4 linked regions of the Oreochromis niloticus genome follow. The main gene of each other region encodes a partner of the protein of the gene in region 2 in a complex. Links are inferred from orthologs where the notes say so. Each region holds a gene or a part of one and is shown on either strand. Other genes may lie near its edges.

Region 1 (7,496 bases), on a different chromosome or scaffold from region 2:
TCTGCTAAAAAGTAGTGAAAATGTACAACATTAGAAAGTGAAAGTCCCACAACATTTAGGCACCTTTTCAGTTTGAGGTAGTGCTCCAGCTCTCTCTTCCTCTGGGCAGTGATGGGTTCAGCCTCCTGTGTCTCTGCAGCCTGAGATTCGGCCGTATCTTTTGATGGATGTGGCTCTTTATTGGCTACAAAAAGAGTTCAGGCAAAATCATGACCAAGGTTTGCTCAAAATAAAAGCTGACAATAAAACATTTCCTCTAGCAGACCTTACCTGTTGAACAGACAGTAGAGTTGCTTTGTGACGTGTTCACTGAAATGCCAGATTCCCAGCATGCAGATGTCATGTTGTCACTGGGGTCTGAGCTGGTGCTTGCTGTCACTTTTTCAGATTTTGTGCTTAAAAAGAATGACAAATAATTTAAATTGTGTTTTTCATTGTATGGCTTCAAATACAGACAACTCTCATACCAAGTAATCACTCACCTGGTTTTTCTATGACAGCTGTTATATGGTACAGTTTTCAGCAAAGCATGATGGGTGAGCTTCCGTGTTTGTGCTAGTAATGGGGCTGAACTGGAGGGCTCCTGAAATCACAACAAGAGTGGCTCATATTTTCCACCATTACACAACTACACTGAATTGTTTAGTAAGGTGTAATTTGTTAGAGTCATATGGTAGTCACACGGGCACCACATAAGTGATTTAACAGGAGACAACAACATGGAATAACAATGTCATGCAGTAAAGAAAGATTACATCTGTTGAGCTCGTGATGTTTTTCCTGTGATGATTCATTGACCGTCTGCTGGCAGAATGACCCGGCTGGTTCTCATCTGTTGTTGCTTTGTTAAACACACAGATTTTTTCTGTTGGCTATGACAGACTTGTGAACTTGACAGAGAAAGCATGATTAATAGTTACCAACCTGCCTTTTTTCTTCAGCCTCGACGTAGTTTTCATGTTGCCGTTTTGTTATTTCATTCTTCAGCCGTGCTTTCTTGCCATAAAATGCTTTTAGCCCTGAGTAGAACACACAACAAACAACTGGGTTTACTAAAAAGTCAATGTAAACTGAACCAAACCTGAAAAAAAAGTCATACTCGTTTCCCTTTGAAGTACAGCAAGTTTGGTATATACAATGAAGACATGCAAAACTTTACCTTCATACTGTAGAAATTAAACTGGTATCGAAATGTAGGTAAAAACAACACTTTTTATATGCTGTAACTTATCTAACATACATGTTATACGGTGATACCCTTATTCAAAATACACTTTCCGGAATTTTTTCAAGTGAATCATCAGAAAATAAAGAAAACTTCCAGGGTACAAATGCTTGTCTTTAATTGTTTGTGTAAGAGACAACAGACAGAGTTTTGCTTTTCCGAATGAGGAAAGTTGGATGTTAAAAAAAAAAAAAAAAAAAAAACCTGGTGAAGAAAAATTAGATAGTTGTACAACACTCTGACACTTAAAGAGTACAATTTGTTTGACAGCCATTCAAAGTGATGGAAAAACTAACAAATTCAAAAGCATGAAATTTTTACTTATCCCTATGTACTTGTAAATATGCAGTTTTAGTGTGAAAAAGTGCTACAATGTATCATCGTTTGGGTTTTTAATTCTTCCAAATAATGACGGGATATCAAATCCAGATAATTTGAAAACCAAAACTACTCTTTGTGACGCAGCATTAGAAAAGACACACAAAAACAGCTAACCAATGACGCAATCCAAAAACTATTGAACTTTCCAATATTTCAACTCTTTGTTAACTTGACTTGATTATCTGCAAATGCAATGCAAAATTTCCCCTTGACTGCTGCTTTTGAGTTTTATTGAGTTTATTCATTTACTCAGTTGGGTTTTCAACTGCTGCATCAAATTACAATACAGGTCTTGTGTTGGCTGTTGTTTTGCCTGATGAGGACATAACTACTGACCAGCGCATCTCTTTCTTTGATCCTCAGTTAGTTATGTAGCTTCTCCCTCTCACAAGTAGCTTTTCAGTCTTCAGTGTTGTATTTTATTTTTGAGCAGATTCTATTAATATGCATAGTTTATGCATCTGTACTCCTCTGATTTTGTGTAGCATATGTAGCAAGGATGGCATATTAACCTGCACTTCACAGCACCTCAGATGATAGCTCGACCTCATAAAAGTGCCTGTCCTGCAGCATTGACTTTAGAAATGCAGAGTCATTTAAAATATGGGGTACTGTCTCAATAAATAGGGCGAAAGACAAGGGATAGAAATGGTGTGCAGATGGCTAACCCTTGATACAGCGCTTCTTAATAAGACTGGGGCCGAAACTTCAGGTCCGCTAGGTCCCCGGGGTACGAGCCCACGTACTAACTTAGTTGCTTTAAATAACTTTGCAGGTTAAAGGTGCTCACCGTCTAGATGCCTCTTTCCTTTTCTGTGGACTGTCAACATGTCGACTGTATCAAACACAGGACGGTAGGAACACACAAGGCAAGTGTACCTATAAGATACGGGGAGAAATTAAACTAAACATGCCGTTAGCTACACAAGTTTGTCTTTCCCAAACATATCAATGTTTTGAAGTTCACTCCACCTTCCATTTTTCATAAGAGCAGCCTCATCTTCTGGAATAAAATTAGACAAAAGGTCTGCCACACGACGTTTCTGTAAAACGAAGCGAATAACGTTAGATAGTATGTAAGTTTTACTACAATTTTATTTCCCAAAGTAATAACTACAGTATGTTGTTAGCTTAAAGATGCTAACACTAGCCACATGTGTGCTCTTAGCTGAAGTCTCTGTTATTAAGCCAACATAAAATGCTGCAAATTGATCCGTACCTTAAGGAGATTCAGCTGGCTTTTATCGTCACCTTCTCTTTTAAAGGACATAATTGTTATGATCAATAATATAAAAACTAATCTGAGTAGCAGCGTAGCTTCTTGGCTATAATATATAAGCTAATAGCAATGCTGCATTCATGGACAAACGGAAGATAGGAAATATAGACCTGTGCTCATCTTTGAGGTGGATAATTGTTTCGGCTATCGGAACTACAACGATATCTGCTGGTTTTTATAATATAAAGTCCGCATAGTCATTTGAAAGCTCGATTTGTGGCTATAGTTTGTATTTGCTCAATTTGTGAAACAAACTATATCAACTTAATATAAAACGCAAATTTTTCCCCTACAGTCTTTAATGCAACGCGTTGTGGCGAATCATAGGACTAGTCAGTGAACACGGCAGCCATGGCAACATATGGCTGTAGACAGCTGACTGCAAGAGTTTTGAAAACAAGTTTTTCAGCGACTTTTAGTTGTGTATTTGACAGATAAGGTACGTTATATTTGTAATCCAAGAAACTTTCTATATAGTTTAAACGGCTGTCATTTTGGAGAAAAGATTGAACGCTTGGAACAAATAACGAGCGACGACGTTAATTAAGTTGATAGCCTTAGCTAGCAGGCTAACTAAGCTGCTAGTTTGATAATTATGGGCTAAAGCGGAAGCCATTATTGTGAAGATGTTAACAGCAGTGAAGTTCGCTGGTAAGCGCATTTTAGGCCCACATGGTTGTTTACCACACAAAAAAAGAACAATATAAGTGTTTTACGACAATGTCAGAGGAGCGAGCTCCACTACCAGCTGGAGGAGACGGCCTACTCCGAGGGAGCCGCACAAGATCTTACGGCAGTTTGATCCGATCTCCGCTGTCCCCGGTGCACCAGAGACGTATTGAACATATAATTCAGCCGGGAGAGACACTGCAAGGCCTGGCGCTGAAGTATGGAGTGTCTGTGAGTATGACTGTGTTGGTTTGACTCTGAGACTGAATTAGTTAAAGTATTTATTTCTTGCGCCTTTAACAGTTCAGGTTCAAGGTTCTTTATTTGTCACATGCATAGTTATACAAGTATAACACAGAGTGAAATGTATCCTGACACGCTCCTCGACATGTGCAAAAAGGGAGGGGGGGTAGAGGAATAACATTATAAATATACATTGGGTGAATGTGCAGTAGTAGCAGCAAGCAGGTCAATTCTGTACATTAATATGAATAGACATCTGACTATTTTACAGAATGGACAATATAAACATATTTAAAGTTAAAGGAAATGAGTGTCTGGAGGAAAGTCTCAGTCAATTATAGATGATGTGAGAGGGCGTGTGTGTGTGTGTGTGTGTGTGTGTGTGTGTGTGTGTGTGTGTGTGTGGGTGGGTGGGGGGGGGTGTTGGTTTAGGGCCGATGGCTTGAGGATAGAAGCTCCTCTTGTAGATTGTAGAAGTTGGAACAGTTTGTTGCCAGGATGGGACGGGTCCTTCAGTATCTGCGTTGCTCTAGTCCGGCATCTCCTGGTGTAGGTGTCCTGAAGCGGGGGGAGAGCAATCCTGCAGCAGCGTTCTGCTGTACGGATCAATCTCTGGAGAGCTTTTTGGTCCTTCACACAGCTGTTCCCAAACCACGATGTCATGTTAAGCTTATGTTGAAATTTACTTGTTGCGATATGATGTCTTCTAACTGAATACTTGATTTACCAATACTGAAATGTAAATGTGGGTGAATAATCACATTTCTTATTGTTTTATTTTCATATTTATTGAGGTAGGGTTATCTCAGTGGTTCAACAAAAACGTTCAACTACATAATTAAATTGTTTATTCAGCTGTTAGGGCATACTATGAAAAAGTGCTTGCCTTAAAATGGCATGTATTTATTTGGTTTGCTGTCTGCCTACTGATCTCGGTAAAAGTGAGACTTGATTTAGCCAAGTCTAATACTAATTAACATAAGGTTCACAAGGACATTTTCTCTTTCAGATGGAGCAAATCAAAAGAGCAAACAGGCTGTACACCAATGACTCAATATTCCTGAAGAAGTCTTTGACAATCCCTGTGATAGCAGACCTGGACGACTGCAGTAAAGGGCTGGATGTGGCTGAGGAGGACGGCAACAAAGGCAGTGCTAACTCTGCTTCGCTTCACAATGGACACACAGGGAGTTCCTCTGAGAAAAATCAAGAAGACAGAAAAGATCTCACTCCTGGGGATTTTTTGAAAAGGTTGGATGACTTGATAAGCCAGTCCAAGCAGGCTGCAGTCAAAGGATGCCAGGAAGCAGAGAAAAGGTATAACTGTGCCTGTCGCTGGTTGCTCTTTTCTTTGCACAGTTGTTGTCCAGTCAGGGTCATTTGTAGCATTACAGAGACTTACCCTCTTCGTATTTAAGTCACTAATAGTTAGATCAGTTGGTCCTGCTTATGGATATGTTTTTAGTCATGTCGCTGAGAATATTGTACCTTCACTGATGTGTAAACAATGTTGAGGTCATGGTTAAATACACGCATTTTGATGTTAAGCATAGATATACATGGATAGTATCTGGTGGTCAGTTTAACCTAGATTGTCATGTCAAGTATAGTCATCCACCTTTCTGGCCTTCTTAGTATTTCATCAACCACTCACAATGTGGCTGTTCAAAAGATTCCCAATGCTTAATAGCTACTTTGAATTTAATTTGTAATGACCTGGTGATAGTACCAGTGCAACAGCGATTATTTTTATTTTTTTTTATTTTTTAAGAATATCAATCAATTTAGCCTAAGATCAGTACACTGTGAATGACTTGCTCTGTTATATATTTTTTTTATTTACCAGGGTTGCTACACTAGAAGCAACTTGCAACAACAGGACATCAGATTGCCGGCCGCTTACGAGGTCACAGAGTGTCATTTCATCTTCCAGGATGGCAGTACATGGGACAGTACCGCTCACTGTCACCAAACTGACCAAGAAACTGAGAGACAAGGAAGATGAAATCTTTGAACTGTGACATGTCTGTCACTCAGAACATTAATGGAACTTTCGCAGGGAGCCGTGATGCGCTGTTTGATCTCCAGGATAACGGAGCGTTACGGATAAAGGAATGAAAAGGAATCCCCGGTGATCCCGCTGCTGCCTAAAGCATAAAAGTGTTTTTACACTTCCATTTAAAAAAAATTATATTGCACAATTGTAGACTTGTTATTTATTTGGTGAGACATACTGTAGGTTGTGAAAAGCTTCATATGACTATTCACATCCAGGAAATGGAAACTTGAAATTTGAAAAATGAAAAATCAATCATATTTAGTCAGATGATCATATGGTCAACACAAAAGGGGTTTGTGTGTAATTGCCTCATATTTTCAGACTTGTAACCTTAGGAAATGGAATCTTAAACACAAGTTACGTTTACTGTAATAATGATGATGACAATAAACTGATTAGAATGATGGTTTTTCTATTACTGCTGAAAATGCAAGAAAACATTTTGTAGGCTTTATAATATTTCATTGCAATAATTGTGTTGTTAAGGTTATATTTCTAATGTCTTCTCAATTTTGTATTTTTTGTTTTAAAATAAATATTTTTATCCCATGTTAAATGACATTTATTCACATTACTGCTAACAAATATCTTTTAGTATAACATGCAGATTTAGCTGTTATGTGAGATTTAATGTCCAATTGGAGTTGATTTTTATCCATTTTAACTGCCGTGTAAGACCAATGAATAGCCAATAGACCAATGAATTAAAACATTTTTAAGCCCTACTGTGATCCAAAAATCATGAATTATAGATTGGCTGTTCAAGCAGTCATGAGTAAAGAGTCTGTCTTTTTGTTGATCTAAACATGTTTTTAAAATACAGTCATGGTCGCAGTAATTGTGCACTCTGGGGTCATTATCTTTATTTTTGGCTTGATTGTTGTCTGGACACCTCAGTAAATACAGTTTGTTGCTGCAGAAGCATCATCTTAACCACCAGATGGCAGTGGTGTACTATAGTGGTACTGTTCCCAGGCCTAACTTGCTTATGCATCTGTCCAGCTGATTCATATCAGTGATTATAATGCATAATATCAGTAGTTCTGAATAATACATTTCAAAGTCACAAATATTAGATGATATTTTGTATGCTAGTAAAATAATCAATGCACAATATATCTGTTTAATTTCAAGTTTGTTTTCTTTGGACACTGTCTGAATAGAAAATTAGCATCACTTACATAATATATATTTATGGCCCCAAAATATCAAAAACTTGAATGACTCCACAAAGCTTTATTTGTATCCCACATGTTCTTTGAGAACTATGGGAAAGCAGGTTGGTTCTCAAATGACTTGTTTTATGTTGCCAGTCCTCAGTAACAGAAAAACAAGCAGTTCAGAGTCCTAGTTGAGTCTGTCTGTTGATCTCCCAGTGTCTGTCTGAAATTTAGTTCTGATGTCATATTGTCCCATCTTCCACTAGTTTATTCAGTCCTTTACAGATCTTGGTGAGGTTGGGTCTGAAGGGCCCATCAGGGTTGTACAGTTGGGTCAGGAGCTGTGGGTCGGAGTAATGGTTGAAGACATGGTTGATGCGACCATGAGATTTAGTGGTGAGGTGGGTGTTGACCAGTTTCAGCAGCAGATCCCTGCAGCTGGTCAGGATGTCTGCCATCACTGTTTTTTCAAAGGTAAAG
Region 2 (7,051 bases):
ACAAATGTAGCTGCTAATGTCGTAGCAGCTACAGAATTGGCCTGCACTTTCACCATTTGAAAACATTTAGTACGTCACGAAACAAAAAAATGCACCAAAGCAGACTGACGATTGTCTTGAAATTCTTACATGTGTTTTGTGTTTGTATTTTGCTTCTTTGTTTCAAATCACTGTAATTGTTTTTAATTACACTTTACATAGCATCCCAGCATTTTCAGAATTGGGTTTGCACTTTCTGGGATATGCAGGACAAGTGTTTTCAAAAATCCCTGAGAAGCAACAATGTCTTGATGACACACATTTTTTTTTAATTCTTACCTTTCACAGACATCCTTCCTAAAATTGTAAAATAATAAAACAGCTTTACAAAAAGTGGTGCGCTCTTACCCAATGGTTTTCTGTTCTTAGTCTTCATGTGGACTTCCTCAGCATCGTCTAGAACCAGATTCATGTACTCATCGAAACCCTAAGGCAATGAGACACAAGACAACTAGAACTTACTAACTAGAACTTGTGCATGCCTGATCTCACAGAAGGTTCAGCCTGAGTGGAAACGCTACTCACAGATCAGGCCATTTCAAGTTAGACTGAATCATTTTAAGCCATGCTAGGACATAATGTGGCCATACAGGGGAACAGCAAGTGACAAAGGTTTGTTCCTAGTGAGAGCTTATTTCCATCTCAATAGCAACACGCACATGGTGAAGATCACCTTCTTTGATTTCTTTGGTGCGTATAACACATTTCAGCCACTGCTACTTAGAGAAGGCTAAAGGGAATGTCAGTAAACAGTTGGCCATCTCATGGATCACTGATTATATGATAAACAGTATGTGAAACTGGGCAGTGCTCGGTGTCAAAATGATGACATACAGGAGCTCCACAGGGAACTGAGCCATCTCCACTCCTGTTCACCTTGCACACCTCAGACTTTCAGTCATGCCACCTACAAAACTAATAATTCTGCAGTGGTTGGATGCATCAGTGATGGGCAGCAGGAGTACAGAGCACTAGTGGATGATTTGGTGGAGTTGTCAGAGAGGGATCCACTGTTTCTGATTGTGAATAGGACCACAGAGATGACAGACTGCAGAAGAAAACGGGTGGCTATACCACCTGTGTCTATCCCGGGACAGAATGCTAATGTGGAGGAGGAGAACAAGTACCTGGACATCCACACTGATAACAGGTAGGGCTTGGCCATATCATACTGTTCACGGTAATACCGGTATAATGTTGGACAACGATAAGAAAATGAAATATCATGATAGAATCTGGGTAAAACGCGCATGTGCAGTGCCTTTGTTTTCATACGCACATGGCGGAAAAAGCACGGCGGCTACGGAGAATAAGAAGGGCGAAAGCGGATTGTTGAATGAAACGGATGAACCAGAATTGGTTTGTAAAAATGCTGCAACTTCAGTGGTGTGGAACTGGTTTAGCTTTCGTCCGTCAGATACACAACAAAGCACTATTTTTGGTAGCGCATGCTAGTGGGCCGTCGTTATTACCGTGTTTTTTGGAAAATATGGCACACTGCCCATGAACATCAAGCTTGATAAACTGACCAAGAACATGGAGAAAGGTTATATGTTACTTACAATAATGCAGCCTTCTATCCGCATGTTCACCTGTTCATACAACCAAACTTGGATCCGTGAGCGCTGAGAATGAGAGGGAGAATAAACTGCATACAGTTTTATCTTCAAAATTACCAGAAAACAAAACTAATCAGAAGTAAGCACAAAAAAGTTACAAGCTACTTACATTTTGCAGGTACCTGAAAATGAGATTCTGACAACCACAGTCAAGGACATACACACAGACTCGAGTTCAACATGTTTAGAGTTAAAATGTGCACATATATTGTTAATGGTTATATTCGCATTTAGTCCAAGTTATCGGAAATGTGATTCAGAATCAGAGTTTGGGTCAGGGGTTCTTCCTGGCTTAAAATTGGCTTTTGGTCTTCATATCTTGAGGGCAAACTTTATTATTTTCCCCTGATCCTTTTGTAAATAAAAATCTGTTTAACAAAGAATTAAAATATAGTTACATTTATTTTTGGTCATTTTAATTCTTACACAATATTAGCACTAATATAACATGCTGGCATTCCCATAAGAGACCATTTAAACGTGGATCCATAGCAAATAAAAGAAAACACTATTAAGTTCCACTAACAATTAACTAATTATATTTTTAAAACATTTGAGAAGCTGAAGGTAATTCCGGTTTTATAACTAATAATTGTCAAGACACTTTCGTTAGTTAAGTATTCCGTAACTTCCTTACTCTCCCACATCATATTATATTTTGGTGTTAATAACTATCGATTGGTGGGCCTAAAACCCTCCTTATGGTATCATATTGAGTAGTTTGAAGGCAGAAATTAGCCTCTTTTGCGTTCAGCTGTAACACGGAACAGCAGAGCCGGGCTTAAAGCGGCTAAGTCTATACACTAGTTTTCTGACTGGATTTCAATAAACCACATTTTTCTGCAAACATATTTCATACCCGCGTGACTTCTCTGGGTGAAACTGGTCTTCACAAAAGCTTACATGCCTTGTAAAACTCCTCTCCTCACATGAGTGACTACAAATGTTTACGAATGACTAAATGTTAGCCTAGCTGCTAAGCTATTGTAGCAACCAATTCAACCGCGCAGTGTCGTCCTGCAATACAAAAGGATACAATGGGCTGCACCATAACCTTCTGGACCTTCTGTCCTTGTCCTCTGTATGCCATTCCTACAACTAAATACCAGCTGTAGGTATATGCTGAAAAAAATTGCACCTTTTCTTAAGAGTGCACTACAACGAAACTCTCACGTTGTGAGACGTCTTCAATGGCGGGTTTCCTTTCGCGTGCTCTGCCAGTACCAGCACGGAGGTCTCGTGATGTGAAAGAGCGCCCCTGCGGGTGGGAGGTATCAATAAAAACACTAGAACAAATCAACGTTTATAACCCGAAATCTCGCGAGAACATACCTGTGGAAGTTTGCTGGCAGTGTGAAACGCGCCCAGTCTTCAGCATAAAAACAAACTAAAAGGCTATATGGCAACATCCATCATCGTCTATATGTGAGAAAAGTTAACATTCTCCAGCTCTAGGTGTAGTGTCATTTCCTGTTTCCTATGATAGAGCTATAGTATGTAACCAGAAGTGTCAACTTTAAAAGAACTTGACTATATTAGTGGGCCTCACTAATATAGATTATTCCATTGTTTATTCCATTGTTTTGTCAGTAAAAACCTGTATGTGCAGGAAAGGATTATACAAAAAAACATGTCAAAAAAACATGTCATCATGATGTCTGTGAAGGTTCTCAGTCATCCACGTCATCGTAGTCTAAGGAGCTTGGAAAGAAAAGCGTCTGGACTTCTTTAAGTTGCTTGAAGACGTTTCACCTCTCATCAAAGAAGCTTCTTCAGTTCTAGGGTCAAATGGTGGGAAATGGTCAAATCTGGGACTTGCCACCATTTGATCCTAGAACTGAAGAAGCTTCTCGGATGAGAGGTGAAAAGGTGAAACGTCGTCAAGCAACTTAAAGAAGTCCAGACGCTTTTCTTTCCACGCTCCTTAGACAATGTCATCATGATGACTTTTAATTTCAGGAATATGTACACGTTATTTAGGATCAAAACGAATCTGCACAGTATCATTTATACCAGTTTAGTCCATATCAGCTGTACTTAATTTTATTGAACCCCATTCATTATTAAGCAAAAAGCAAAAAATTCTACCGACCACAAGGCTAACCGTGACTCTTTGGATTTTACCTGCTGTGTTCTTGTGTTTCTGTTTTTACCATTTTAAAATCTTTTGGTTGTAACTTTTTTTGCTGTAATGTTATGAATAAATGATAGAAATTGTAAAAAAGCCTACAGTATGTTTGTTAGCTGAATCATTTCAGAATAGAACAGTCAGGACTTGAGTGTGTTTTTTCTTTTTATTTGAGCCATCTCATTTTTAATCAAGAGCCACAAAGTGTCTATCTGCAGGGACACAACGGTTGTGATAGAACATCAGACACTGTCTTCTTGGATGTCTCAGCCTACAGTTTGATTGTTCCCTGCAGAATAGTGATGGCCTGTCCAGCTATGTTGATTCTTCCATCATCTCTCAGTTCAAGTTCCAGCTCGCCACCACGACTGGAGCACTGGTAAGCTGCACAGACACAATAAGCAGATTAATAATGGATAAAAGTGGAACACAACATCTGTTATCAGATAAATGACACATTAGTAAAAGGCGGAGAAGGTTAAAATACGTACCCAGCATTTTCTTCTTTCCTAGTTTTTCAGACCAGTAGCTACCTAGGACTGTGTGGTTAGATCCTGCCAGAGCAAAGAATGCACAGCAGGAATAGCTTAACACTTTCTCTCATTAATAAGACACCTGTAAATGCATCCTCTTTAATCACTTTAGTCCAGCTGCTTATATGTAAATGTTTTTAGACACACAAACATGGTCAGAATTATGTTATTTGAGGAATAATGTCTATAGATTACATACTAGTAAAGAGGAATCATCTTACCAGTGACAGGATCCTCAGGGACTCCAACCCATGGAGAAAAGTCTCTCGAATAGAAGTCATATCCTGGCTGGCAGTCTGGTGATCCTGTTTCCACATGTTAGCAGTGTTTGATATTTAATGTTTGTTGGCAGAAACATTCAGTCAGTGTTGTTACACAAATTAAAATGGGCAACAAACGAGTCCACAGGATGGTGATGGCAAAGGAGAAATCAGCGCACCATTTGTCCTGTGATCAAACATTTCCCCAGAGCTCAACCCAAGTGAAGGCCTATATGATGAGTGAAATCACAGACTGTGCTCTTCATCACCATCATCATTAAAACACCAAATGAGGGAATGTTTTTGGCAGATTGCTGTTCATCCCTCTAACAGAGGTGCATCGAAGCTTTTCTGATGGTACATGGTGGGACAACACCTCACTTAAACACTTCATGTTTTGTTTCCTTTGGTTTATTCTTTACTGTTTACGTCTTCATTGTAATGGAATTACTACATGTGGTCCGATCCAGCAAGTCTACAACTCTACGAAAGGCACAGCTCCGATTACCTTTCATAGTGACGATGACGGCGCAGAATCTTCCACTTCTCTCAGTATTCTCAAGAGCCACAGTGTCAACTTTCAGATTGGTAAGCGCGGAGCTGGAGATAATACACAAAAAGCATATATACATTTACTAAAATGTGATGAGTGGGTGTAGAAGGGCAGTTGCTTGATTATTTGTTTGGGCTTTAAACATATGAATAAGCCCCACTAGCTGGGCACCTGAGAAATATAACTGATTGTTGTTGCTGAACAAATGTTTAAGATCCCATGAACAGTAGGACCACTATTGAGATTCATTTGAATTTGGCAACAAGCAAAGTTTTTTTTAACCAACATGTCACAGCTGTCAGCCAGTCGAATCAGCAGCTTCTTGGTGTTGTAGCAAAATAAAACTTCCTGAACCGGGAGGTTTCCGACTGCCGCCTGTGTCACACATGTAAAGGCAGAGACTTAGCTGAATACACACACAGGAATGTAGTTACACTTTCACAAACTGTTCACAAAAATGTGATTTCTGACCTTGATGGTGTCTTTGAAGTCGTTGGGTTCCTGAAATAAAAAGAGTTCAGAAAGAAAGCCATTTTACATACACTGTTAATAAAACACAAGAACTAGTTTATTTTACATTACAGGATTTGATTAAATTGTTCATGTAACTAAACAGGAAAAGTTTATTTTACCACTCGGGTGGGGGGATTCAGAGGAAAGTCCATGATGTACCCTTCCTCCTTCTTGGTGACGTGCAGATCTCCACTCTTGGTCTCAAACACCAGGGTGGGATTTACATTTTCTGAAGGAAAACATCCATTACACGGTTACATGCTAGCACCTCTTTGCTCCTTCTTGCAGTCAGCTGCATTGTGCATTACAGGCATCTTTAAAAATAGCTCCAGCGGCCTTTTCTACTGCACCATGATGTCACTTTTTTTTTTCAAAAACCTTTTTATGTGTAAATGTTGCATCTTACTGATGTGTTGGAATAGCACTGCTGCAGAGGCCAGAGTGGCATGACCGCACAGATCTACTTCAGTGGTTGGTGTAAACCATCGAAGGCGGAATCTTGATCCTGTTAATCACACATTTAAGACTTTTTTCAGTTTTGTTTTGGTATTAGTTTCAAATACACAGAGTTAAGCAGTGTAGATAATAATGTTAGTGATTGGCTTACATCCACAAAGGTCTTCAAGGTCAACTTGAAGGTTGGTCTACAGATCTACAAGTCTACAAGGTCTACAGATTTCAAATATGTCACATTTGACCTATGACCCTCCCCTTCAAGGTCAAGACATCTAAAGGTCAATGTTATAATAATGCTATATAGAGCTACTTAAGTGTGTTTCTTACTGCCATTGTACTGTCAATGGCACTGTGTGTCCTTAATCCTGCCTGATGGGTCTAGTTTAATTTTGCTGAAGGCTAACCTTTCGTGATTCTCTTACACAATCCAAAATTTGTAACTGACATTTCTCAATAGCTACAAAGTGCCATGAAATAGACTTTGTGGTGATTTGAAGATATTTTTCTCTAATTTAATTGTATTCTGATCCTGAAATGTCTGTTGTCTGTGGCAAAACTTACAAGTTTTAATCGTGTGACAGTGTCACATCTTCCTATGGTCACTAGCAGATATTTATGTCCTTAATAGTAACCTGAAAGCTGAACTTCTTGCAACATTTTTTATCCTAATACCAGCTATCTCATGGGAGACAGTTAGCTTTCATTGAGTGGATTTGTCCTTTTACGAATAAACTTTTTTCACTTTTTTTTTTGATAATCTCAGGCAGACTGATACAGGCTTTTTTCCTCATCATATTTGGACTATTTTAATTCCTTCTGCCTTGTTCAAACTTTAGCTGCCAGAGACGAGAAGAGCAAAGACCACATTACTCCCGCTACATTAGACTTATTCAATATAGAATTGATTTTAAACTTTGCTTTATTGTTTGAACAGCCTTACATGACTTCAC
Region 3 (7,547 bases), on a different chromosome or scaffold from region 2:
TTAGTATTAAGGGGAAACCAATCCAAACCTACATGGCCCTTTGTGAAAAAGTGATTGCCCCACCCTGTTATAACATAAATTAACTGTGGTGTATCACATCGTTGCAAAGTTTGAGTCGAGTTGAATTTCTCTAGCCACACTCAGGCCTGACTAGTATTGCGCCTGTTCTCAATCAAGAAATCATGTAAAGTGGAGTAGACCAAAATATCCTCAAAAGCCAGGCACATGCCAGAATCCAAAGAAATTCAGGAACACACGAGAAACAAAGTAATTGCAACCTCTTGGTCTTGAAAAGGGTTTAAAGCCATTTCTTAAGCTGTATGACTCCAGTGAACTACAATGAGAGGTATTATCCACAAATGGCGAAAACATGGAACAGCCTCAGTTTTGCCAGAAAACATTTTGATGATCCCCAAAACTTTAGGGATAATACTCTCTGGACTGACAAGACAAAAGTTGAACTTTTTGGAAGGTGTGTGTCCCATTACATCTTGCATGAAGCGAACAAAGCATTTTAGAAAAGGAATGTCATATACCAACAGTGAAAAGGTGTTAGTGCGATGGTCTGAGGCTACCTCAGGACCTGGAGGCTTGCTGTAGTAAATGGAACCATGAATTCTGCCGTCCAGCCACCTGTTCATGACCTCAAGCTGAAGCAGAGTTGGGACAATGATTCAAAACACACCAGCAAGTCCACCTCTGAATGGCTTAAGAAAAACAAAATGAAGTCTCTGGAGTGGCCTAGTCAAAGTCCTGACCTGAATCCGACTGAGATGCTGTGGCATGACCTTAAAACAGGCGGTTCATGCTTGAAAACCCTCCAAGGTGGCTGAACTTAAACAATTCTGCAAAGATGAGTGGGCCAAAATTCCTCCACAGTGCTGGAAAAGACTCAGTGCCTGTTATCACAAACACTTGATTGCAGTTGTTTCTGCTAAGGGTGGCCCATTAGGTTTAGGGGGGCAATCACTTTTTCACACAGGACCATGTAGGTTTGGATTTTTTTCTCTCTTAATAATAAACACCTTCATTTAGAAACTGCACTTTGTGTTTACTTGTGTTATCTTTGTCTAGTATTTAAATTAGTTTAATGTGAAACATTTAAGTGTGACAAACATACAAAAAAATAGGAAATCAAAAAGAGGCAAACACTTTTTCACACCACTTTATCTGAATGTCTCTGTACAAAACCATTGTACAGTTTGAGTTCGCTCCAGTCTGTCTATGCTGATCAACATGGAGAATATTAATACAAAGTTTCATAAAAATATAGCAAGACACAAGAAAATGCAATGAGTGAAAAAGGGCAGTTCCCAAGAGCTGTGTTAACAATGTGTTGTTTTAACAATAATTAATGAGTTAAAAATATCTTAATAAATCAGCTCGGGCATCAGCTAACAGCTACTGTCATTAACAGGATATCTACTGATTATTATCATATAATGATGTACTTCGAAAAATCAATGCAGGCAAAAGTTTAATTTGAAGACCAATTTAATTTGAGTGGGATTTTTTTTTTTTTTTTTTTTATCTTTAACTAATTATCACCATTTGGCTAACCCTCACAATACTTTCAAGAAGGCGAGAGACCTTTTCCACAGTTTAAAGAGAAAAAAAGTACTAGTGCAAATAAAAAATTAAAAAAAAAATATAGTAAAACACATTTCTGAGTTCAGTTTTACAGTTTCAGGATTCTGGTTACTGTTCACGACTGACTTTTACGCAGAGCTTACTGGAGCTGTACAAATTTATTTTATGAGGGAAAAAAAGGAGTTGTGTTAGACCAGAACATAGCTAAAAGGTTATGGCACCATACTGAACCGAGTCGTGTCATTCATAATGTATGCCCTCATTTAAACGGAATTAATAAGCAAGCACTGAATGTGAGTCATTATCAGACAGACCACAGCTTCCTGTTTTGAGAGGAACATCCTACAGAGAAGGTTACTTTTCTGGGTAAGTTGGCTGATCAACCTTTTTAGATCACACTTTAACCTGCGCTCCTCACCTGTGTTTGTCATATTTTCTGCTCCTTTTAACTGTCATGAATGAGTTGCAGTTTCAGACATTAAGAGAAAAAACTGATGGCCTCAGAAACATAAACAACCTGCATTTATTTTTCTACTCTATTTTATCATCATATTAATTATGCACTTCAGTCTTCTTACAGAAGACCTATACTGCCTCAAATTTTAATACCAAAGTCTACATAAAAGGGACAAGCTTACCATTGTTTCCTCTTAGGAAGGCATCTCCATATTTGTTCTTGAGTTGCCCGTTGACATACTCCTCTGTCTGCTCTATGGCGATGTTCATGTAACCATCTAAACAGGCCAGAACACCTGCAGGTACACAAACACACCGTGTTTTCCTTTAAAGTCATTACTTACCGATCAGTATTGGGGGGGAAACAAGTGGCTAGGCTGTTACGTACCTCTATAATCGACACCAGAGTTCAGTTTGACCACAACAGGTCTGCCAATGATCTGCTTCAGAAAGTCACTCGGGGTCTGCTTCCTCAGGCTCATTTTGACTGTGATCTGAAAGGATGAAAGATGAGCATTAGATACTATAGTAGCAATTTATTTCATGGAGCTACATTAGCGTGACAAAAGCTAACTCGTGTTCATGTCTGTAATAGTAACGATTTCCTAACGCAAACAGGCTAGTATCGTTAGCGGCTAGCTAGCTAACGAGTATAACAAACCTGCTAACCGACTATTTTCCCGTGAATCTGTTTGCGCAGCGAGGGTCGCTGTCTTTGTGAAAATCCTGCTTACATTTTATTGCACCCAACAACACAAGGAGAAACCCTTTAATTTTATCTGCAGCAGCAATATGTTTGTTAGCATTTCACTCACCAGACCGAGGTTTTCCAGACAATTGTATTTAGCATGGACGTGAGATTGACCAATCACAAGCGTGTTCTGTACGGAAAGAGGCTGAGGACAAAAAACTTAACTGATTGATCGCTAATCATATAATCAGGTATCAAACTGGCAACAAAGTAGCTATAGTTTTGTGATTAAATGTTTGCCTGAGCCTTCTCTATTTTTTGCCCTTTTTTTTGCATATTTGTCACATTTACATGTTTCAGGTCATCAAAGATAACTTGAGTAAATACAAAATGCAGTTTTTAAATTATGATTTCATTTGTTATAGGAAAAAAGCTTCTAAAGCTATCTGGTCCTATGTGAAAAAAATAATCCCTCCCCTTGTTAAGTCATGAATTAACTGGTAACTTTTCCCTAGTCACAGCCAGGGCTGGTTCCTGCCAGACCTGCTGAATCAAGAAATCACTTAAGTAGAAGCTGTCTGACAAAGTGTAAAAGGTGAAAGATTTCAAAAAGCAACACACCATTCCTCATTCCTTAATCTAAAAAAAAAAAAATCTCAAGAATTGATAAGAAACGTTACAAAGCTATTTTTAAGGCTTTGTGACTCCAACGAACCACAGTGACAGCCAAAGGTGCCACAGGCAGTTATTAGGTTTTGGGAAAATGACTTTTTCACGCAGGGCCAGCTTTCGATAGTCTTTTCCCTTAATCAATCAAATCATCATTTAAAAACCGCATTTCGTATTTACTCAGGTTACCTTTGTCTAAAATTACAATTTCTTTGTTGATCTGAAACATGTAAGTGTGCCAAAGTGGCAAAAAAAAAAAGAGGGAAAAAAAGGAATCTGTAAGGGATTAAATACTTTTCTCAGAGCATGCCGTTTTTTATGTGCTTAAGGCTCTTGCAACACTGTAGCCTTGTGTTCAGCATCACCTGTACTTTTATGTTCCCAGCCATGACAGTTGATGTGCAAAGAGAAGATTATGAAGAAAAAGGAAATATGAATTTTAGTCCAGCAAAATAATATATATATACATATATATATATCAGCTTCCTTTTTGGACCTTTCTTTTCCTCCTGTTAGTCATTAATTTGGAACTGTGCGTTTTCTATATATCATTTCACATAATTACCACCATAGGCTGAAAGAGCATGATGAAAACAAAACATTTGAATCTGGATTCTGGTTAAAGCACAGAAAATCACTACCCAAATAAGAAGAAATCAGAGCAATTTCTGGATGAATATTAATAATAACAACAGAGATAATGATGTTGGTACTTCATACCTCTTTGTCTTGTTAAATTAAAATATAAAAAAATCATTTAGGTGCTTGCCTTGTTTTAAAAATGCATATGATCCTGAGGCAGAATTGAGTTAAACTTAATGGGTGACATCAATATATATTATAAGCTATGATTTCACAAAAGTTTGGATGCTGTAAAATGTAAACAAGAAAAAAATGCAGTAATTTGCAAATCATTTGAAGCCTGTAATTAAGAAAAAAATACAAAGGCAACATATCAGAGTCTAAACTGAAAATATTATAAGACTATCAGGTACATGGGCAAAAAAATAAGCATACTGGAAATGTTGAGTCTGCAAAAAATCTGTGGTCATTTGTGGTACATAATAGCAATTAATCAATCAGAGAATCGATAAAGATTTCACCAAAATTTTTGCTGACGGGCCATGATCTATGGGCCCTCAGCTAACACTACATTAAAAATGGACATGATGCTTTAGTAGAAATCACTGCATGGGGTCAAGGTCCATTTTCAGTAAAATATTATTTGTCAACCATTCGTGCTCACATTCACACCTATGGGCAATTTTGAATCACCAGTTAACCTAACCCCACTAACTGCATGTCTGGTTGTCTGTGACAGGCTACTGACCTGTCCAGAGTGTACCCTGCCACTCACCCTGTGGTAGCTGAGATAGGCTACACCCCCTCTACGACCCTGAATTGGATAAATGGATGGAGGGAAGGATGGATGTTATTTGTCACTGCCTCAGCAAATGAAAGTTAAAACACTACCATGCAAAGAAAGTAGATTTTTATCAGCACATAGTTCAAAAGCTGAGATCTGTGATGGTCATGTGCATTAGTACACGCGGCATGTTTAACCTGCACATCTGTAGGGCACACAGGGATAAATACACATTTTCAAGCAACATATGCTATGCAGTCCAAATGATGTGTTTCTCAGAAGAATCATTGCTTATTTCAGTGAGAAGATGTCTGTACATATTTTGCATATTCATCATAAAGAGTAAAGTAAAAGAGTCTCAGTGCTAAACAGTCCTTCCTGTTTGTTTTTGTTACACACTAAAAAACAAAATAAAAAAAAATGGATCATTGCAAAAAACAAAATAAAAAACCCCCAAAACAATTCCAGAGAACACAAACAACGGAAATTATATATCAAGCAAGAACAAGGAAGAACTCTGTGGTCTAAATTACTGCAATTTAATTTAAGGTTGTGTTGTAAAATGTACAGGTGATGCAACACAGTGGTAAATATGCTTCTCCCTAAATGTCCATGAAACTACTCTGAATCTCACACGTTTGACTTTGATACTATTTAACTGCATTATGCGTAAATTTAACAGTAAAACTTCTACAGACCCTCACAGATTCTGGTCACTGTCTCTGTTATTGCAAAATAGTTGCTGTTCGACAGCTGAATGGTGACCAGATGCACACCGAGATGAAGTCAGATCTGCTAACAAGGAAGGAAACACCTGATGTGTGAGTACAGTCGAAAACATAACTGCCATCTCCTTTGAGAGCTGATTAGATTGGCCTGATTGGTCCTTCTACTTATTCATCGCTGGATGTTAATATCAAATCAAGCTTTATAATAAAAAACAAATAAATACAAAAAATGATTGATGACAGTGAAAGTGAATATTTTGAAGTTTCGGACTGTTTTTACAAACATTTTAAAATAAATTATTCATTATTTATCAGAATGAAATATATATCAAAATAGCACAAATGTAAAATTCTACATTAATCATATGGACAAAGTTTCATTTAATTTAATCAAAAAGCTTAACCTAATGTAATAAATTTCAATCTAAATTTTCAGTGGAAATCTTTAAAAGCTACAGAAGTTTACTTATATGTTAAAGTACGTTTATGAGTGTTTCTCACTTTGGGTTTACACATTTTTAAATCACTGTGGAATTTCTCTTGTTTTAAAATAGAAATAAATAAAGTGCATTATAGCTTTAAAAAAGTATAATGCAATAATAGTAATAGTATTATTATTTTTTTATTATTACCATTATTATTATTATTATGCTATTGGTAAGCTGTGCTGTGAAGGATAAGAGAAAGTCTACCATCTGATAAAAACTCTGGTTGTTGGGGTGCGTGACCCAAACACTGCACAGCTTGGGAGGTACATGAAAAATGGTGTAGGGGGGGAAATAGGGATGAAATGGTGAGGTGAAAGATAGAAGAGGATAGAGGGCACGAGGATGTGCCAGTACGTGTTAGCAGAGACAGAGAGGTTGAGAGAAAAAGAGAGAGAGAGGGAGAGAGAGAGGGGGATTGTGAGAGGTGGAATCATAAAGTACTTCTTGTGTGTCTAGACAGGTTGCTTGTTAGCAGGGCATGGCTAGCCCTGTGGAGGCTAGAGGTTAATTTGGTATCTGCTGCTGTGTTAAACTAAGGTCAGTACTACAAGTCCTTAAGTCATAAACAAGAGTGGTTAAGAGCCATGTATACACCTAGGCACCGGTTAATGAATATTCAATGAAGATTTTTTTCCCCCTTGTCCCTTGTTTCCTTTGTCGTTGCTTGCTTTGTAGAAAATTTTTGGAAAGAAAAAAACCACAGTTTTTCTCCATGGCCTTCAGAAATGACCTCTGCGTGCTAACATGTAGTTGTCCTTTGTTATCCTATAGTTGTAACGAAGAGTGGCTTTTTGCTTTTTGAAACGCGGCACGCTGATTATTCGCTTCCATTCTTGAACGCACTGAATGCAAATGCTCATTAGTTTTATCTCGTAGTATAATAAAAACCAATGATCTAATAAAAACAGAAAAAAAATGTCCAAGTCATGAAGTTTGTGGATAAAGCAAAACTTATACTCATGACCGGCATTTAATGCAGACGTTTTCTCGTGCTGATTTGGATCTTAGTGGAAATATAATGAGAAAATGTTTGAAGTGAGCTTACACGGGCAAATCGGGTATAATCCACAGGCTGAGAAAAGTGCTTCTGGCCTGTAACCAGCACAAAATCCACCAATGATGGTTAATAAGTCAGCTGAAATAGGGCTTAATTAAAACATTGACACTGTGGGCTGTATCTGTGGTTAACCTGTCAGTGATCGCCAGACTGTTCTGCTGCCTATGCATTACATGTGTAATGTATGTCTAAGATGCCAAGTCTTTTTTTTTTTACATATGCTGTAACAGCAGATTCAAAAAATAATAAATAAATAAACACATGCAAATACAAAAGCATCAACAGGCTTTGTTTTTGTTTCTAATTTCATTGTTTTTGCTTTTAATCAGCACATGTTCTCAGGTAAGTAGCAGATTTCCCTTTCTGGTGTCAAATTGCTTCAGGTGGTCTTAAATGTTTGATTGTTTTTCCTCACTGTATTCTAATTTTGTATTCATTTGCGCTTCATGTGTCTTATATATGTGTGTGTTTTATACATATATATAATTTTGTATTTTAGAGT
Region 4 (7,420 bases), on a different chromosome or scaffold from region 2:
TCAAAGTAACTTTTTTTAAGACTGAAGGAAGTTTTAATTTTGCAACTTTTCAAATATAAATCACTTCAAAATGAGGTATAAAAGTTATGGTGTTTATGAGACTCAAAGAAGAAGTCTGTGTTTAGTTTGTGTTTAAGACTTATTCAGATTTTACAATTAATATTCCAAAATTGGCAGTACTTGGCTTTTATCCAGTTGTAAAAATAAGACATGATGATAATAATTTTAATTGTATGCAGCACATAAAGGGTTCTCTTTAGGCTTCCTCCCACAGTCCAAAAGCATGCATTCATGGTTGTGGTTTTAAATTGACAACAGGTAGGTATATGAGTGTGAACATGACCATGAATGTGAATGGTTGCCCATCTGTGTGTTAGCCCTGTGACCTGTGCTGGGTGTACCCTGCCTCTCCCCATTAAGCTGGGATAGGCTCCAGCCCCCCAGCATTAGCAACCCCATAGTTTTTCATTTCCAGTGAGTGATTTAAGGTGATTCTAGCAGGAAGTTGTCACAGTGAACTACATGAAACTCTTCTGGTGAGACGGGACCTTTAACTTACCCCTGTGTGGTTGAGGCTGTGACACTGACAACCATAATGGTGGCATTGGTAAGGATTTGCTGCAGCGTTTCATTGTTTTTGCATTTCTCCAGATTGTTTCCCAGCTCCTAGATACAAACCACAAAAAAAGAAGAAAAATTAGGGGAGAAAACATCATGTTCAAACAAACTACAGGAAACAATGTTTTTAACAGGTGCAGTTTTAAACTCTTTAATCATGTCAGTTTTGTTAAAAATAGAAATCCTAATTCTAACTAAAAAACAGAAACAGTCAACTCTGAGCTTCTTTTTTGGGGGGGGGGGTCAAAGATGAATACATAGTTCAGCTCACCTTGACAGTACGGATGTAATCCAAAGAATCCGGCACCAGAGACTCCAGCTCTGGAAACCTCTTGGAGTATTTGTCCCTGGTAAACTTGTGGATGATATCTAGAAACAAATCAGAAACACAGAGGACATCTCAGGTTATAAGGAAGAGAACTAAATCTCAAAACATAGCATTATGGATCACCAGAGAGAAGAAGCCAACTCACTGAGCTCGTTGTCGATCTCCACTGTGAGGTTATTAGCTGCGACGATCAGTCTGTATTCTGGGTCAGCCTCGACTGGGCCTGAGACTAAAAGCAAACAAAAAAAATAATAATAACAACTCCATGACTACTCTGGGTTACCATTAAGTTCAAATTAAATGTGTTTACAGAGTAAAACAGAGAAATGAATGGAAACTGATAGTGAGAAGAGCCTTAAATAATAATAACAACACTCACCCTCTGAGTTCTTACGCTGCTTTCCAATATATTCAGAAATTTTGTCCATTATCTCTGAAAACTGCAAAACACACAAGAGTCACTCTGGGAAGAACAGAGCAGACATTTTACTGCTAATCTCAACATGTGTAAAGCTCTTGTATGATACAACTCACCTGTTTGCTATTGCGAAGCTTTGCAATAGACGCGACGCTCTCAGCTTTACTGTAGTCCACCTCCATCTCCTCTGGGATGTCTTCCAGCCCTCCGTCTGCACTTCCCTGGTTCGGCTCTCCATCGCTGTCCCTCTCTTCTTCTGGGTACAGCCCATCCTCTCCCTCATCTCCGGCCTCCTCCAGATCAGCCAGGAGCTCATCTGCCAGAGACATCTGCAATCGATGGGAAAACTGTGAGGACAAGCAAAGCTGACTAGGATCAGTTTGCCTACATGAGGTTGTCACTGAGTTTGGTGGGGTATATGTTCTTTATTTGCTGCTGTTGATGTAACTCTGAATTTATTTATTTTTTTATTAATGATCTGGTTACATAACTTGAGGATCCCATATTTAAAAGGTCAGCAGTGCGATCACTGGCTCATCTAGTCCTTACTTACATTGAACTGAAGTGAAATTTGGGATGAAAACAAACCCAAAAAAGCTCCTCCTGATGTGTCACTAGCATGTGGGATAAACTAAGTGTATACAATAAGCCTCTGTATAAATGTGTGCATAAACAGATTTATGTGGCTTTTAGTGTAAAGAGCTTTAAGTGGTTTACAAGACCAGAGAAGTGTGATACAAATGCATTCTGTTTCACAAAATTATTTATGCTCGCTTTGGAGATTTCCAAAAATGTTTCCCAAGTATCTTCAATTATAGAACATACACCAATAATCTCAGCATTAGATCACATAAAAGTACAGTAACTTTTTTTTTTGTTTTAACTCTGTGTTGGGAAAGCCTACATATCTGATGAAATCCCTTGGGTTCTAACTGCTTGGCCTTTTTTGACTGTTTTCTGAGGGCTTATAAAGCAATCTCTACAGACGCACAACCAGCAACTAAAACAATATTCTTATTCTTAAATTCTTATTTTAAAAAAAAAAAAAAAAAAAAAAAGCACGTCTCTAATATCCCCTTCCTTAATAGTATTATTTGAGCACTAGATACTTAATACTAGTTTTACTCATTTATCAAACAATACAAATACAAATCAAATGCAAAAAGTGTGTCAATACAAAAACTTATGGACCTCGCTGTGTTTTCAAGCCTGAAAGAGAAATTCATCTGTAGACATATTTTTGTGACATATTCTTCTGACAAAGAAGCTCTTCTCAGACTCGTCTGAGATACTATCGAGGCCGTGTTCAGTCCCTCACACACTATCACCGCCACATAAAAACTGTGAAGTATTAAGTCTGCTTCCATCTTTGGGTTATCGCTGGCTGTGTTTGGAGTTAACATTGTTAGCTAGCTAGCATTAGCGAACGTTGGTCCGACGTTACTGAGCGATTTCTCAGTAACTTTGACATACCTCAGAGTTTCAGAGTCCTACTGGTTTAAGAAAAAATAAAGACGTCCAATGCAGGTTTCAGTCGCTTTGAATAGAAATAAAAAACGATTCGTCCCTCTGTTTTCTTGACTGTTTGCAATCCGGTTGTGCGGCGCCGATGTACCGCTGGTCGCAGATTAAATACGTACATTCGCAAAGCTTTGTGGGAAACTGTGTCAGTACACTTCACAATCACAGAGGCACAATCAATATCAGACTCTACCAACAAAAAGGCTCTCAAAACAATATATATCTGTGAATTTTTGCGTGTATTCTTGTAACTTTTTACCCCTGCCTTTGTGTGTTCATGTTCTGTTGTTTTGTATACTTCATCTGTTCGTATGTTGTATACTCATTGTTTGTTAAATAAAGTTTAACAAAAAAAAAAAAAAAAAAATCACAGAGGGTGTTTTTTGTTTTGCTTTTTGACACAGGTTTGATTATCTATCTATCTATCTATCTATCTATCTGTGAAATATATACAGTACATACATAAACTCGGTGTACAGTACAGTGAAAATATGGATTAAGATCTGTTTGAATGCAAAATACGATGCTCTAAGTTGATCTGAATGTATATGTGTAATAAGGCGAATAGGTACTGGTGAATACTAATGGTGAGTTATATTTATTTATTACAATATGCTTTTGGGTGTAACTGCAAATTTAAAATGAACCACTTAAAGTTGTTTTTTTTTTTCATGTTTTTCATAAGTATAATTTTAATTAAAGTATCCTCACACACACCTCCACCTCCCCTTTTACACCCTAGGGATAATTTAGTGGAAGCTAGGAAAAAAATGTTAGCATAATGACTTAGTCTCACAACACTAACCTTAATTTAGAGTTACTAAGTCAAAATTTCAAAATACCTAACCCAAAATGTTGATTTAAGGACATCAAAAATATACATAAAAATATTAATAATGATAATCAGTAGCAGAAAAAACGCTTCCATGTTTCCCAGCCTCACCTGTGCTGGGAGGTGACATTTTTATATTGTATCTACCTAGATTATGGAGTTGGGGTCATGGCTTTGCTGGCTGACAGGTTTTCCCAGCACAGACAGCTGGAGCAATCCATCTCATTTTCACTAACTGTGTCTGTGATGTCAGTGCCTTCTGAAGCATTAATTGATTTATAATATATAACTTGCTCTTACAGCCCATACGTCTCTGAGTAAAATTTCTAGTATGTCAATAGTTTGCAACTTAGCCCTCATTGACAAACATGTATCTGGATATAAGTGCAGCTTTTCTTGGTCATGAATGAAGTAAAAGTAACAATCGAGCTTATTTATATGACGCAGTTCAAATAAGAGGTTCACATTTCATAGTTTTTATTTCCCCCTTGTTTATACATTGCCCCCTGAAAACCATTCTTTAAACAATACAAGTTTAAACCAACATTTAAACAGACTAAACAAATTGACTAGTTGGATCTCGACTGCATGATGGACTGTTATTAGTAGAAAATGGAATAAATTAACAGATACACAAACAAATGGGAGTTATTTACTAATGAAAGGCTTCGATTTTTCATGCTAAGCTACATTAACTGTCATTAATTAAGATAAAAGAATGACGAGACAGCTAAAAATTCATAGACATCGGAAAATAATGAAACATTACAGGACGTTGTTCCATACATATTGGCATATATTAACAAGTAAAATTATACAAAATACTTTTTTTTTTGTTTAGCAATTAAGACGTTTGGGAAAATATTTTGATTTATTTGTTATGAAGATCTTGGAGAAGTTATAGACCTAGATGCATTTCTGTCCCAAACAAATTATAGCTAAGTTCATATATGCAATTGCACCAAAGCAAATAAATACATAACTTAATAGATTAAATAAATAATTAAGATATTGCATGGAAACTGACTTTACATAAATTAAGTAAAATAACATAGAAATAAATATAGAAATTAAAGCTTTTCAGAAATAAAAGTAAAAATAAACTGCTTGTTTCATTTTTCGTGCAGTCTAAGAATACATCTAAAAGTAAACAGCTCTAAAATGATACTGTATACACTTGTATTATGATGTTTGTACAAATGCTGAGGAGTATTGTCAAATACAGGAGTCAAGCAATTTCTGTTTCAAACTGCTGCCTACAAGAACAACTGACTGACTGCAATGAAAAATGTCCTTAATAAAGAGAGGACCGGGATCCAAGCGTTTACATAGACAGACGAATGACTAAAGAAAGTGCATTCCCTGCACACCCAGGGAAAAACAGAACAAAGCAGAAAAAGAGAAGGTAAGCTGGTACACAGCAAGACTCCCACTGCATAGCTGTCGAATCTGTTTCAGATTTTACAAAGCTCCCGGCTCCTCTTCGCCTAGCATATGCTGCCTTTTCCAAAGATTTCTGCAGCCAAAGGCTATGAATAAACTCTGTAAACAGTGGCAGGCCGGAGCTCAGCAACCCCCAGTCGTACAAAATCCCGTCACTAGTAAAACCTGGAATGTTTCCAGCTTTTAGAATCGAAGTCTCTTCTTTCAGTTGCCTCTTCAATAAAAAAATATCCTCTGGGCGAATGGCTGGTTGTTGGGTTAATTCACGGGCCAGTCCGAGAGGGTTGAGCTCTAAAGTGTTTCCAGGATGATGTGCAACATCACACCAGGTGTGGGTCATCAGCCGGGCTGACAGTGAAGCGCGATGAAGTCACTGAATTTGCCCCGACAGGTGACCTTGGTTTGACTGATAAATCCTCTTTCCTTTTCGATTCTTTGCTTTTTGGCCCTAAAAGAGACAAAAAACAACATTAGCATCATGACTGTGCTGGTGTTAAAACCAGAACAAGTGCACCAGGCATAAATACCGAAGCCCAAATGAACAGGATGTTCCCGGGCAATAAGCGTGTGTTTGACTGTAAGGGGAAGTTTAAGGAAAGTCTTTTTATTGGAATTAAACCAAAACATTCACCCGGTTCACAATCAATCACAACTGAAACAATTAAGTTTTCTAATCGTTTGTTGGCTGCATTGCACAAACAAATCAGAATCCACTAAGAAGTCAAAGAACTGTCAAACTTGGAGGACTAGAACTACCTAATTCTGCCATAAAAAGCAATGAAAATATATAAAAGGATCAGTGTGTCATAGCACTGAGCATGTTATATCAGCATGATGGTTAATAGGCAGGCCCGGCCCTTCCAACAGGACCACTCCCTCCATCATCACAACGAATAAGATCATAATTATCATCATCATCTAACAGGATACCAGCGATATGAAGCATGTGTGACAAAGCGATGTTTCAAGCTACCACTTTGTTTATTCTAAAGAGGTGGTGCTGGTTGTCTACCAATCAAGGACCAATCCCTGGCTCGTCTTGTGCCATGTGTCAAAGCATCCCTGGACAAGACACTGAACCCTGAGTTGCCCCCAGTGCATTGATGTGAGTGTGTGCACGTATAAGGTATAAACAGGCTGTTTGAATGAGACTCGCTTTGAGTGCTCAGAATTGAGTAGAAGGTGCCAGAAGTACCAATCCATTTACCACGAAGTTCTTTCTTGGTCGTTTTGTGCATCAACATTGAGAATCTGATATTATCAATATCATTCAGTACATCAGGGCGAGCATTACCTGCTTGAAGGTAATGCTGAGAAAAAGTACCTGTAAAATTACCAGTGTGACCTTGAGCCGAAGCACAGTTTGGATGAAGGCCCATTAGGTGATCAATGTGTAATTTTGATTAAATTCTGACCGATACTGTAGGAGGAGTAGGTCTTCTTATGAATTTTGATGATCAACCAATCTATTCATAGGAGAATGATGATCCATCTGTGACTGGGACACATGTTTACTCACTTATAAGATGCACAAGAAAAAACCCCCAGTACCAAGCACAGGGGAGAAAATCAGCTGATAATCTAGATCTTAATAGATCTAGATTATCAGTCAACAACCACACTGAGGCGACGCAGACTTAGTTTAAAATAACTCAAAAGTAACACGGATTCCTCTTTCAAAACTTTGAAGTCTTGAAAGGCTTGAAAGATCATTAAGGAATCTAATTTTGCCTTTTCTGTATGTGACACAGCTCGAAAGCAAACTCTGAGCCCCAACTTTCATTAGTCTGTGAAAAAGGGTGTTGAGTGCATGAGATGGAGAGTGGAAAGTAGCGAGAGCAGCTGAAAATGTGCAGGGAAACATGACTCGGGCTTGCATTGTTGAGTGCGGGATTAACATCCCTGCTAAGTTCAACATGTCACAGCATCCCGGGGCATAATTATAGAAGATTAACTCTGGCTCCATATTTGCAGCGGAGAGAGCTGAACTGAGGTTTTCCATTTTAGCTGGGAATGTGCTAGCGGCTGTCACATTTTGTTACATCATTAGGCAGCTCAAGGAGGAGACTAACTGAATCCCTGTGTAAGAAGCAGCAGACACTGATGTACGTAGAGTCCAACAAGCCAGCAGTTATGGTAACAGCTGTGTGGTGCAGCGCTGCACTGAAAGCTAACATCAGCATCAGTTATTATTAGTTTTGTATTTTCTCATTCGCTTTTATTTTATGTCGTTTAGAGTTTTTGTTTCAGTACAGATAAT

What was found.
Region 1: snrpe (region 2) and scnm1 share a complex: the UniProt entries of both Homo sapiens proteins name them as parts of the minor spliceosome. The link is inferred for Oreochromis niloticus from reciprocal best matches to the Homo sapiens genes SNRPE and SCNM1.
Region 3: snrpe (region 2) and lsm6 share a complex: the UniProt entries of both Homo sapiens proteins name them as parts of the U4/U6-U5 tri-snRNP complex. The link is inferred for Oreochromis niloticus from reciprocal best matches to the Homo sapiens genes SNRPE and LSM6.
Region 4: snrpe (region 2) and prpf31 share a complex: the UniProt entries of both Homo sapiens proteins name them as parts of the U4/U6-U5 tri-snRNP complex. The link is inferred for Oreochromis niloticus from reciprocal best matches to the Homo sapiens genes SNRPE and PRPF31.

The regions. Positions count from the first base shown.
Region 1 is NC_031976.2:31,213,601-31,221,096, forward strand, and holds the start of scnm1 (sodium channel modifier 1), read right to left. Parts: upstream 3,011-7,496; 5' UTR 2,877-3,010; coding exon 2,826-2,876; intron 2,650-2,825; coding exon 2,579-2,649; intron 2,486-2,578; coding exon 2,397-2,485; intron 1,020-2,396; coding exon 925-1,019; intron 584-924; coding exon 483-583; intron 396-482; coding exon 271-395; intron 185-270; coding exon 64-184; intron 1-63. Other genes in the region: lysmd1 (lysM and putative peptidoglycan-binding domain-containing protein 1), read left to right, coding at 3,558-3,785, 4,807-5,114, 5,644-5,818; tnfaip8l2b (tumor necrosis factor, alpha-induced protein 8-like protein 2 B), read right to left, coding at 7,259-7,496. UniProt on the Homo sapiens protein: As a component of the minor spliceosome, involved in the splicing of U12-type introns in pre-mRNAs. Plays a role in the regulation of primary cilia length and Hedgehog signaling.
Region 2 is NC_031970.2:34,218,227-34,225,277, forward strand, and holds the start of snrpe (small nuclear ribonucleoprotein E), read right to left. Parts: upstream 3,020-7,051; 5' UTR 2,749-3,019; coding exon 2,695-2,748; intron 1,795-2,694; coding exon 1,768-1,794; intron 1,665-1,767; coding exon 1,602-1,664; intron 467-1,601; coding exon 388-466; intron 1-387. Other genes in the region: phenazine biosynthesis-like domain-containing protein 2, read right to left, coding at 4,058-4,170, 4,278-4,340, 4,541-4,624, 5,088-5,179, 5,419-5,507, 5,604-5,633, 5,765-5,797. UniProt on the Homo sapiens protein: Plays a role in pre-mRNA splicing as a core component of the spliceosomal U1, U2, U4 and U5 small nuclear ribonucleoproteins (snRNPs), the building blocks of the spliceosome.
Region 3 is NC_031971.2:16,285,780-16,293,326, forward strand, and holds the start of lsm6 (U6 snRNA-associated Sm-like protein LSm6), read right to left. Parts: upstream 3,016-7,547; 5' UTR 2,862-3,015; intron 2,849-2,861; exon of another isoform or gene 2,708-2,848; intron 2,541-2,707; 5' UTR 2,529-2,540; coding exon 2,435-2,528; intron 2,343-2,434; coding exon 2,229-2,342; intron 1-2,228. UniProt on the Homo sapiens protein: Plays a role in pre-mRNA splicing as component of the U4/U6-U5 tri-snRNP complex that is involved in spliceosome assembly, and as component of the precatalytic spliceosome (spliceosome B complex).
Region 4 is NC_031976.2:22,012,197-22,019,616, forward strand, and holds the start of prpf31 (U4/U6 small nuclear ribonucleoprotein Prp31), read right to left. Parts: upstream 3,017-7,420; 5' UTR 2,838-3,016; intron 1,712-2,837; 5' UTR 1,694-1,711; coding exon 1,481-1,693; intron 1,387-1,480; coding exon 1,326-1,386; intron 1,176-1,325; coding exon 1,092-1,175; intron 988-1,091; coding exon 890-987; intron 667-889; coding exon 560-666; intron 1-559. Other genes in the region: uncharacterized protein lmtk3, read right to left, coding at 5,481-5,608. UniProt on the Homo sapiens protein: Involved in pre-mRNA splicing as component of the spliceosome. Required for the assembly of the U4/U5/U6 tri-snRNP complex, one of the building blocks of the spliceosome.